Linked DNA regions of Nothobranchius furzeri. The protein of the gene in region 2 purifies or fractionates together with the protein of the main gene of each other region. This does not show direct contact. Links are inferred from orthologs where the notes say so. Each region holds a gene or a part of one and is shown on either strand. Other genes may lie near its edges. The genes, in order: cct7, nedd1 and c16h10orf88.

The links.
Region 1: the proteins of nedd1 (region 2) and cct7 purify together in Homo sapiens (affinity purification with mass spectrometry; 3 studies listed by BioGRID and IntAct, counting the BioPlex papers as one, with this or other methods). This does not show direct contact. The link is inferred for Nothobranchius furzeri from reciprocal best matches to the Homo sapiens genes NEDD1 and CCT7.
Region 3: the proteins of nedd1 (region 2) and c16h10orf88 purify together in Homo sapiens (co-immunoprecipitation; 3 studies listed by BioGRID and IntAct, counting the BioPlex papers as one, with this or other methods). This does not show direct contact. The link is inferred for Nothobranchius furzeri from reciprocal best matches to the Homo sapiens genes NEDD1 and C10orf88.

What each region holds. Positions count from the first base shown.
Region 1 is NC_091754.1:61,256,005-61,259,761, forward strand, and holds the start of cct7 (T-complex protein 1 subunit eta), read left to right. Parts: upstream 1-843; 5' UTR 844-961; coding exon 962-967; intron 968-1,794; coding exon 1,795-1,878; intron 1,879-2,034; coding exon 2,035-2,104; intron 2,105-2,192; coding exon 2,193-2,299; intron 2,300-2,370; coding exon 2,371-2,549; intron 2,550-2,625; coding exon 2,626-2,797; intron 2,798-3,757. Other genes in the region: krcp (kelch repeat-containing protein), read right to left, coding at 1-104, 356-417. UniProt on the Homo sapiens protein: Component of the chaperonin-containing T-complex (TRiC), a molecular chaperone complex that assists the folding of actin, tubulin and other proteins upon ATP hydrolysis.
Region 2 is NC_091744.1:80,535,624-80,539,325, forward strand, and holds the start of nedd1 (protein NEDD1), read left to right. Parts: upstream 1-834; 5' UTR 835-906; intron 907-2,876; 5' UTR 2,877-2,884; coding exon 2,885-3,020; intron 3,021-3,702. UniProt on the Homo sapiens protein: Required for mitosis progression. Promotes the nucleation of microtubules from the spindle.
Region 3 is NC_091756.1:51,774,907-51,778,563, forward strand, and holds part of c16h10orf88 (ATPase PAAT), read left to right. Parts: intron 1-1,704; coding exon 1,705-1,816; intron 1,817-3,657. UniProt on the Homo sapiens protein: ATPase that regulates mitochondrial ABC transporters ABCB7, ABCB8/MITOSUR and ABCB10. Regulates mitochondrial ferric concentration and heme biosynthesis and plays a role in the maintenance of mitochondrial homeostasis and cell survival.

The DNA.
Region 1 (3,757 bases), on a different chromosome or scaffold from region 2:
CCGCGTTCACGCAGATCCTCTCCCCCCACGGTCCGCAGCTGAACACCACCACCAGCTGGACGGATGGAGGAACTGCAACAGAAACTCTGCACGACCCGTCCGCACTGACATGAAAAAGGACACACACACACACACACACACACACACACACACACACACACACACACACACACACACACACACACACACACACACACACACACACACACACACACACACACACACACACACACACACACAAATGAATCAACTGAGTATTTTACCAGAATGTTTCATTGTACACTGTTCCTAAATGGGGTAAATGCATGAGAAACAGTAACAGACTCTAATGTTACGATAACAGTATGTTTCCTACCTCAGCAGCCTTTGAGGCGGACCGTTTACTCCAAAAACTGCATAAACTCCAAACTCTTCCATTCTTAAAGCTTTCTTTTTATGTTTTTTCTAATTAGTTGTAATTTAAACACAACTAATAACATAAAACAGCTTCTCCCGCCACCAATAGGTGTACGGTTTCTAAACGACGCGCGAATTCTGGGTAAGACATTATAGGCGCGCGTTTTAATAATTGGCGTCTCCCATGAAATTTGCAAGTAGGGTTAAAGTGAATGCCCCGCCCATGCTGCACATTGTTCTTTGCAAATCAAGCGCTCTCCAGACTTCACTGACAGACGTAAAAGCTACATTCAAAGACTGTATGAAATGTTAAGATTTTGACTCGGCGAATGACATTTTAATTAAGTCCGTTTTGATGACCCAGAAATACGGAAGAATATCTGAAAATTATTAATGAATTAAATGTATTTTAATATGTATTTATAGCAAAAAAATTACAGGCAACTTTACTTCGGAGGAAGAGTTAAACGGGAATCCGAGTCGTCGTGTGCTCTTGAATGCACTCCATCGAAAAGCATTATGGGTTGGGAAACCGGTGGAATAGCTTCTCGAAAGAACTGCGAAGATGATGGTGAGTGTGCTTTAGCTTTGTAGCCGCGGAATCATCTTATAATCCGTGCCCATCCTTTAGTTTATCAGACACGATGAACATCAGGAATGTTTTATCTGATAATGCACACTGTTAGCCGTGTTTAAAAGGTGTTATTGCGTAGAAATAATCTGAAAGAAGCTGTTATTGTTAGCCATTCACTGCTAGCATCTTTGTAATCAATGGGCGTTTATGACGGATGCTAAGGGCGATGTCAGGTTTATAGTTTAACGTATAATTAGACAAAGATAGTTGCATATTTTTTAAGTGCTACGCATTTATTTGAGTATAAATGGACGCATTACGCATTTATTTGAGTATAAATGGACGCATATTAGTTCATGTTAGCTTACCAACATATGATTGAACCAAAGCCATCTCTTGTTAAGATGTAGCTGCTCATTTTGGTCGTTTTAATTAAATCAACAGTGACAGCTGTTGTCCAGGTTTTGCTGCATGCTTGATGGTATTAAACCATCACGTTAGCTTAAGCAGCATCCGTTTGTTCCCTTATTTGGTTAAATGCTGGTTATTGTGGATTTGATGTCTCTCTGGTGTTGACATGAAATTATATCTGATATTGAATTTTTATTTATGCTCTGATGTGACTGCAAACATGATCAGCACCACTAAAAAGAAACCCGCCAAATTAAACCCTCACAGATGAAATTTAATCTTTATACCTGAACGTAAACAAGACTCACTTTTTATAAGATAGATCTGTCCAGGCAGCACCAGGACGCGAGTGATCATGGAGATGGATGCCTTTCTAGTTGATCTGGTTTAATGTTTTTGGCTTCGTCCCGCAGCCCACACCGGTTATCCTGCTGAAGGAGGGGACAGACACGTCTCAGGGCATTCCCCAGCTCATCAGCAACATCAATGCCTGTCAGGTCAGAGGAAGTTGCTCTTCTTTTTCCACATTTGGGTGAACTGAGGTTTTGTTGCGGTCTCTTCTCCCTCAAAACTAAAGTCATCTGTACTGTAGATGTCTCTGACCCTGAACTATGCTTCAGTCTCTAAATGTAGGGTTCTGTTTTCTGCTGCAGGTGATCGCTGAGGCTGTCCGGACCACTCTGGGGCCCAGGGGCATGGATAAACTCATGGTGGACAGCAGAGGTGTGAAGACGTCAGATAAAAATGAGAAACATGTTTAGATTTCAGCGTTTTAGTCGACCGAGCTGATTAATGTTTGTATTTTTTTTAGGTAAGGCAACAATTTCCAACGACGGCGCCACCATCCTGAAGCTCCTGGATGTGGTTCATCCTGCAGCCAAGACGCTGGTGGACATCGCTCGCTCCCAGGATGCTGAGGTGAGATTTGTGTTCGTCAGCGATGTCTAAATTCTCATCGTCTCGGACTGACTCGTGTTTTTTCCTCTCAGGTTGGGGACGGCACCACATCCGTCACTCTCCTGTCCGCCGAGTTCCTGAAGCAGCTGAAGCCGTACGTGGAGGAGGGTCTCCACCCTCAGACCATCATCAGAGCTTTCCGCACCGCCACCAACCTCGCCGTCAGCAAGATCAAGGAAATCGCCGTCTCCGTGAAGAAAGATGACAAGCAGTGAGTGCTGTCCTCTGGTGGCGAGGTGTCCGTCCATGGTATGAGGTTCGATCCTAAATGTCACGTTTCTTCTCAGAGAGCAGAGGCAGCTGTTGGAGAAATGCGCCGCCACCGCCCTGAACTCCAAGCTGATCGCCGGTCAGAAGGGGTTCTTCTCCAGAATGGTGGTGGATGCCGTCATGTCTCTGGACGAGCTGATGTCTCTGAAGATGATCGGCATCAAGAAGGTCCAGGGAGGAGGCCTGGAGGTTGGTGTTTGCTGTTCAGTTTCACGTGAAAGTCAGGAGGAGGAGTTTACTCATGAGTGGACCAGATCACCTGTGGACAGGTGTAGACGTCCCAACCTTCACCCAAACGTTCCACAGCTATGAAGCTAAAGGAAGCAGGCTTTATTTTCTTCAGAAGAGCATCTGATCTTCACCTGTCTGTCTCCGTTAAATGTTTGCACCGTCGCGTTCCAGTCACCACTGGGTTTTTATTAATGGGAAGGTGAAGACGGCTGTGTCTGAGATTGAGGAGGAGCAATGTGGTTTTGGTTCTGGCCGTGGAACTGTGGACCAGCTCGATACCCTTGCAAGGGTGATGGAGGGGGCATGGGAGTTTGCCCAACCAATCCACGTGTGTTTAGTGGATTTGGAGAAGGCTTATGACCGTGTCCCCAGGGGCCAGTGGCGGTTCTACATCGAATTACTCCCCGGGCGAGGCCCCCTTTGAGCGCCCCCCCCAACCCCCCCCCCCCCCCCCCCCCACCACCACCACCACCACCACACCACCCCACCTGCATGAACACACGCATGTTTTCTACAAACAGGCATGTTTTATTAGAACGACTATTGAACATTCATTTTTCTAAGTTGCACATATTTACATTAATTACTATGAAGTTGTCAGAATGTAAAGCACTATACATTATATACTGTATCAAAATATATAGAATCAAATATACAAAAACAAACAATAACTAAATATTAAGAATATATGAACATAATAGATAATAAATATTCTAAATAGCAAAAATATTTCACACATAACAAACTAAAGATAATCACTACAGCATTGCACTTAGAACAGAAAACACAAACTAAAATTAAAACCTAACCTTGATGCAACATCATCAATAATGTCATCACATGAAATCTGCTCCCCTACTGAGTGATTGATACTAATCAGAGCCAGGTTAGTGAGCCGCCCCTGAAACATAGGTGACC
Region 2 (3,702 bases):
TAAATTCAAAAACAATTTTTATTTCTTCTCCTAGAAATTTACCTGAGTGTTTGATGTCCACTGGTTGCTTGGTGAACATCATACATGTGATTTTAGTTGTGTTGTTATTTACAGGAACTAAAGCTAAAATGAGAATGGGGCAGCTTCCTGAGTTTTTGTTTTTGCCAAAATGAAGGTAACATCGTCATATGCATACATTTTAAATTTGACATTAACACATGAACACGGGCAGATCTTTGATATAATAACAGATGGGCCAAGTGTTGACCCCAGAGGAGCATCTATAATGCAGACATGCTGTCTCTTGGTATATAAATATGTGACTTCATCAACTGAAGTGTATCTAAACAAAGTTATAAGAAACTAATTTAGACAGAAGAATTTCTTGATATACTGAGTCAAATGTATTTTTATTTGTAGAAATACTGCACCAAAACATACACCGGTGTCTAACATTTGTTTAATCTTTTCTATAAACGGGCAGTTTGTGAACTCTGTGGAATGATTTTCTCAGAAAGGGGAACATGTGTGTCTTTGATTTGTTGTTTTCGATGTGGGGATTGTTTTTGTAAATCACATAACTTGATTGTTCTGTTTGATCATTGGAAATTTACAAATAAAGCTACAGGTTTGGCTGTAAGTGCAGCTCTAAAGAGTCCAGTGATTAAAAATAAACGTTCATTCAGTGTGAGAAGTGGGGGGAAAAAAGCTAATTTTAAGCATCCAGCCATTTTCCACAACGACGGTAAAGTAAAACTGAGGTTTCTGTTGTGATGAGATAAAAAGCGCTTTTATTGGTTCCGGTGGGGTTTTGTCCCTTATGGTTTTCCGTAGTGGCGGTTCCTGTTGGACGGAGCGTCAAATATCAACATCTTCATCTTTTTACAGGATTATTTCTGGCTGCAGGTTTGTAACATCCTAGTTAAACATCAGCTTGTAACATTTCTAACTAGTTTAATCTCGTTTGGGTCACTTTCCCGGCTGGCTTGTGGCTGTTCGCTAACTTTAGAGCCGCCTAAGCGCGCTGTTAGGTAGTTAGCGTTAACTCACAACAGCTGCTAGTCAGCCTTTACTCGCCAACTAAAGCGGGTTGAAACTAGTCCAGCTGTTTCTGTCAAAGCGATTACAGAAACATGGTATTGGGTCGAAGAGTGGAAGAAAAAAAAAGGAGTTTCAAACCGAACGGCTCCTGAGCTCCTAACCTAGTTTATAAATTCCTCTAAATATTAGTTATGTTATAAATACTAGGCAAAATGTACTAAAGTCATCTAAAAACTAGTTGATATTATAAATACTAGGCAAAATGTACTAAAGTCATCTAAATACTAGTTATAAATACTAGGCAAAATGTACTATAGTCATCTAAATACTAGTTATAAATACTAGGCAAAATGAACTATAGTCATCTAAATACTAGTTATGTTATAAATACTAGACAAAATGTACTAAAGTCATCTAAAAACTAGTTGATATTATAAATACTAGACAAAATGTACTATAGTCATCTAAATACTAGTTATAAATATTAGGCAAAATGTACTATAGTCATCTAAATACTAGTTATGTTATAAATACTAGACAAAATGTACTAAAGTCATCTAAAAACTAGTTGATATTATAAATACTAGACAAAATGTACTATAGTCATCTAAATACTAGTTATAAATACTAGGCAAAATGTACTATAGTCATCTAAATACTAGTTATGTTATAAATACTAGACAAAATGTACTAAAGTCATCTAAAAACTAGTTGATATTATAAATACTAGGCAAAATGTACTACAGTCATCTAAATACTAGTTATAAATACTAGACAAAATGTACTATAGTCATCTAAATACTAGACAAAATGTACTAAAGTCATCTAAAAACTAGTTGATATTATAAATACTAGGTAAAATGTACTATAGTAATCTAAATACTAGTTATATTATAAATACTATATAAAATACACTATAGTCATCTAAATACTAGTTATATTATAAATACTAGATACATTGTACTATAGTAATCTAAATACTAGTTATATTATAAATACTATATAAAATATACTATAGTCATCTAAATACTAGTTATATTATAAATACTAGATAAAATGTACTATAGTAATCTAAATACTAGTTATATTATAAATACTATATAAAATATACTATAGTCATCTAAATACTAGTTATATTATAAATACTAGATAAAATGTACTATAGTAATCTAAATACTAGTTATATTATAAATACTATATAAAATATACTATAGTCATCTAAATACTAGTTATATTATGATAACTAGATACAATGTACTATAGCAGGGGTGGGCAATCCTGGTCCTCGAGGGCTGTTATCCAGCATGTTTTAGTTGTTTTTCTTTTCCAACACACCTGATTCCTGGATGAATCACCTGTTCAGCAGCACACCAGACTCTGCAGCAGCCTGTTAATCACCAGGTAGATTCAAACCAGGTGTGTTTAAGCAGAGTAGAAAAAATTGGCCCTATATATTGGCTAAAACTAGTTATACTATAAATACCAGTTTGTGTACAGTCAATGCCAGTAAATTACCAGCATTATTTTTGAATTTGTTACTGAAAGTCAGAATTTATTTAGACTTTGTAATAATAACACATTTCTATTTATTTGATGACAGAAAAAAGACCAAATACTTCCTGTTTGGTTTCAGTTAAAATCAATGAGGAGAGGGCTGATGCTTAAATTAACACACACACACACACACACACACACACACACACACACACACACACACACACACACACACACACACCACACACACACACACACACACACAACGTCTGCATCAAAAAAGCTGTTTACTTTGTGAAACGATTCAGGAGTGTAATTATTTGTACTTATTTTGCCTCCAGCTGCTGCCATGGAGGAGGCCACATGTCTGGTGTCCACCGGAGACTGCGTGAAGATCTGGGATGCTGTTTCCATGGCACCACTGGAGCAGTTTAACCCACACAGCAGCAGCCATCCTGTCGCTCAGGCCTGCTGGAGCTCCAACAGTATCCTGATTTTAGTTTGTAGGTGGAGTTGGGGACCAGCCCCTGTCAGCGTGTTTCTGGTTCTGATCAAACAAGGATGGCGTTTCAGGAGGTTCCAGCCCAGCCCCGCCCCTAACCTGACCTCCGTCCTCTTGAGTTTACTGTTTGCTCCCAACCTGCCAGCTGTAGATTACACTTCGTGTGTGTGTGTGTGTGTGTGTGTGTGTGTGTGTGTGTGTGTGTGTGTGTGTGTGTGTGTGTGTGTGTGTGTGTGTGTGTGTGGCAGCACAACAGCAGTGATTCCCAACCAGGGGTCCGTGAGCGCATTACGGGGGTACACGGAAAAATTCATATTTCATTACGCAAATGATAACACTCGCCCTGGTTAAAAAAAAAACAAACATAAAAAAAACATTGGGCTAGGATGTGTTATGCTTAAACAGCAAATCACCCCCAAATCAACTTCTTTTTCTGATAAACTATATAAATGTGTGTAATCGTGCTGCAGACACGTGTAGTCAATAGTTTTGCACTTTAGTGCATTTTAGTAGAAATTTTAATTTTCTGCCTAAAACTGTCAGTGTTGTGCCGTTGTCAGGTAAAAACTCTGCACTGCATTTGAATTTAAATCTGCCATCACTATTGGCTAAGAGGTACACTAGAACGTTAGCTGGTACCATATGATGTCACAATGTCATTGTGA
Region 3 (3,657 bases), on a different chromosome or scaffold from region 2:
TGTCTGGTTATGGTTGGCGAGCTGGTAGTGGAAAAGGGTACCTGGAGACAGGAAGAGGGGTTAGGGACTCGAGAGGCTAGAGTGGAGCAAAACAGGTTGCGTTGGCACACAATCTCAGGTTGAGCAATACCCAAAGTGAGTCATCATCCGGCGAGGTGGGGTTGTCTCCCTGCTCCTTATAAGCACAGACCGGTGATTGAGAATCTGCTGCAGCTGCCCGCTCCTCGGCTCCACCCACCTGCAATCGAGCACTCACACAGGTTATGGTAGAACCACTCACCTCAGATCCTGACAAGAATGTCTTGATGACATTTGCATCCAGTCATTGATGGAAAATGAAATAGAAAAAAACATTTTAACCAACTGATTCAGTTTTGTTTTTCATTTAGAAAGATTATTTTACTGAAGCTTTATCAAAATTATTTTGCATCTGCTGCTTTTGTTTCTCTCTTCTTGTAAGAACATCTGTGTGGGCAAAGTACAAAAGTCAGTATTCACCATGATTCATTAATGGAGAAACTGGTTCATCCTTTTTGTTTGGAAGAATTTTTTCCGGAATGTTTCAGAGTTTCTTGGCTTTCTTGGTACAAAGCTGCCAAAGTCAAAAGCACAGCTTTGAGACATCTTCAGGCACGGTACTGAACTAGTGCAACTATAGATATGACTTGAGCTGCTCAGATCTCAGGTTCTGAAATAAGTTTCTGTTTTGAAATGAACCTGGTTTGTCGTTTTCCAACTCTGCCAGAAAGGAAACCACTGTACTGTTTCTATCAGTAATTACAAGTACAACACATTATGACATTTGAATTTCAGAAGCTAAATTTTGATCTTCAGAAGTCAGAGTAAAGATTTCTGGTAACCATTTAAAGTTTGATGAATGAAATTAAAGTCAGAAAATATTTTTTTTATTTAATTAAAATACCTATGATGTGATTGATTACTAAAATTAAGGTAGTTGTATAACTAAATAGAAAAAAATTGGCAATTGCTACCTCCAGTATTTAGACCCTCTATCAGAGGGCAGGAAAGATGTATAGTTTTATTCAGCTACTTTTTGATTAACATCAATCTGTTTAATGACTGAGCTGCAAGTTTCTAAGATATAAGATTTTCTGACATTCTAAATAAAAGCAGCAGCATCCAGTAATGTGTACTCAACAGATTTTAAATTTGTCAGTGAAGCTCTGCAGCTGCTTAAATTTAACTTAACAAATTCACAATCTGGGATACTTAACAACTTTTTCGTGTTTTTAAATGATTTTCTTGAGCCAGTATGTGCTAAAATGAGCTTTTACAGGGTTAATGACTAGCCACCCAGACCATAATGCTCCCTGGGGCCATGATATTCCACTTGCAACTTCAGAGTTACCGGTCTGGTCTGTTGGACTTAGAAACAATTGAGTTGACATACCTGGTGCTGCAGTCTGGTTCCAGCATGTTCCTGCATGTTTTAGATAGCACAGCTGATTGGTTTAATGTAGTGATGAATCACTCCTGTAGACACTATTGAAGGCTGTGGAGACATTTCAGCTGTTAGATGAAGGTGTTACAGTGACCAACGGTTTTGTTTTTTGTTCTGCTAACTGACACGAGGGGGTGCTAAAAGCAAGCCAAAACTGCAGAGTTATCCCTTTAAATGCACACAGAACTTTGTCTTGTTATTGTAATATAAATGAAATGTTTTGGCTATTTTTCTGTCTGTAGTCCCCAGACTGCATCAGGCCTGCAGACTTACCTGCAGCTCAGAACGGAGGGATGTCTGAGGGCTCTACATCTCCAGACCTCTCCCTGTCCGACCTCAGCACCAACAATACATGTAGGTATCATCACATTGGTTATGATGCTTCGTAATGCAATAAGGTGGAGAGTTTAACATTTTCGACACAAGTCACACATTAGGATGCAGAAAAAGACGAGGATGTATCCACGTCAAAAAAGCGTTTGATCTTTCACCCTGAAAAATAAATCAAATCTAATATTTCTGCGCCATGTACAACATTCTTACAAAATCAGTAATATTTTACCTAGACCCGAATTTTGCTTTACTATGTAACAACATAATCATCTAAATATCTTGGAAACAATAAAGGAAAGGTAAAGACAGAATTATCTAGTGTAGCGTTTAAATTTACATATTATTTAATGAACCATAAAATGTGAGATTCCATAGGAAAAATGAAATCAATCTTATGGATCTTTGGATAATTTAAACCAGAAGATTGGAACTTTTTATTGCAGGGATTATGTAACCACTTCGTATTAACTCAGAGACAAAAGAAAGAGTCAAGTTTTAAAGTTAAGAAGATTTATTACTACACAATTTAAGACTAGACTAACTTTAAATACTAGGTGTATGGTGTAACTAAGGCGAAGTAAGACTGAGGATGGTGTATGTGTGAAATATGTTCAGAACCAACAAATCCGGAGAAACGATTAGTTCTGATGGGAGTGAAGATGATGTTTTCGCTCTAAGCTTTAGGTTGGAGATTATAACACACTTTGGGACGCCATTCTGTCGGTCTACGTACCCTTTGCGGAAGTCCCCGTTAGATCAGGAATGTCGAGGTCCAGCTTGACCTTCTCTGGAACCGAAGCTGGTAGAAAGGCAGCGGTTGCCGACCAGACCAGTCTTGAGATACTTCCGGGTCACGACAGTTTATTGGCATCTAGCGAGACCCAAAAAGGGGTCGTGATGGTTCAGCTTTTATTCTGAAAGGAACCGTTGCAGCAGGTGGAACATGCAACAGATTTAATCCAGCTTGTCGTTAAGTTCTTTTGGCTTTAAGAGGAAAGTTACGGATGGCCACTCCGATAACTTCTCTAGAACGCTTTGAACTGAAGTTAAGATGACGTGGGCATAGTTTTATGATGTGGATGTTTTGATTTACGGTCAAATCATAAAAGGACAACAAGAGGGGATGTACCAAGCACCAACAAAACCACGCCTCGTGTCAGATCTGGAAGGTTCTGATTGGATCAGAAAAAGGAAATGTGTCATGTGACTTTAAGCATTACGTGGATGAGAATGTCTAGTGCAGCAAGTTTAAAGTTATATTACTTATTAAAATACTACTGATCATAAACATTGTCATTTCACAGATTGGTTCACATTTTATTATTGGGCTAACACTTTGTTTGATTAGCTTATTAAAAATAGAGAAAGAGTTCTTTGATTTATTAATATTTAAAGGGAAAGAGTTCTGTCTTCTTCCTTCTTTCTTGTGCTGTTCGGAGAAGCAACAGTTTAGATAAAAGCAAAGCGTGAGTGGCCTTGGCCCATATCTTGTGGAATAGGCCTGTGTCAGTAACTTATGGTTTTGCTTGGGCAGAGCAAATAGAGCAGGGCCTTTTAGGTCCGAAATGGACAATTCATCACGCTATACTAAAAATAAATTCCTGAACCAAAATTCAGATTTTACTTAAAAACTCGTCATCAAGCATTCTTCATGTGAAAGCTGTCGGAAAAGTGCCTGAATATGTCTAAGTCACTGTTTGTTTTCTATCGTTTACATGCGCACAGAAAGTGTTTTTATGTAGAAGAAGAAAATATCATTTCTATACCGCCTCTCAAGATAAAAATCACGAGGCGCTTAAGTAATGTAAGCTGGTTAATGAGTTAGGTTTTTGGATGTCTCTTCTTCAGGGGTCTGTAACCTA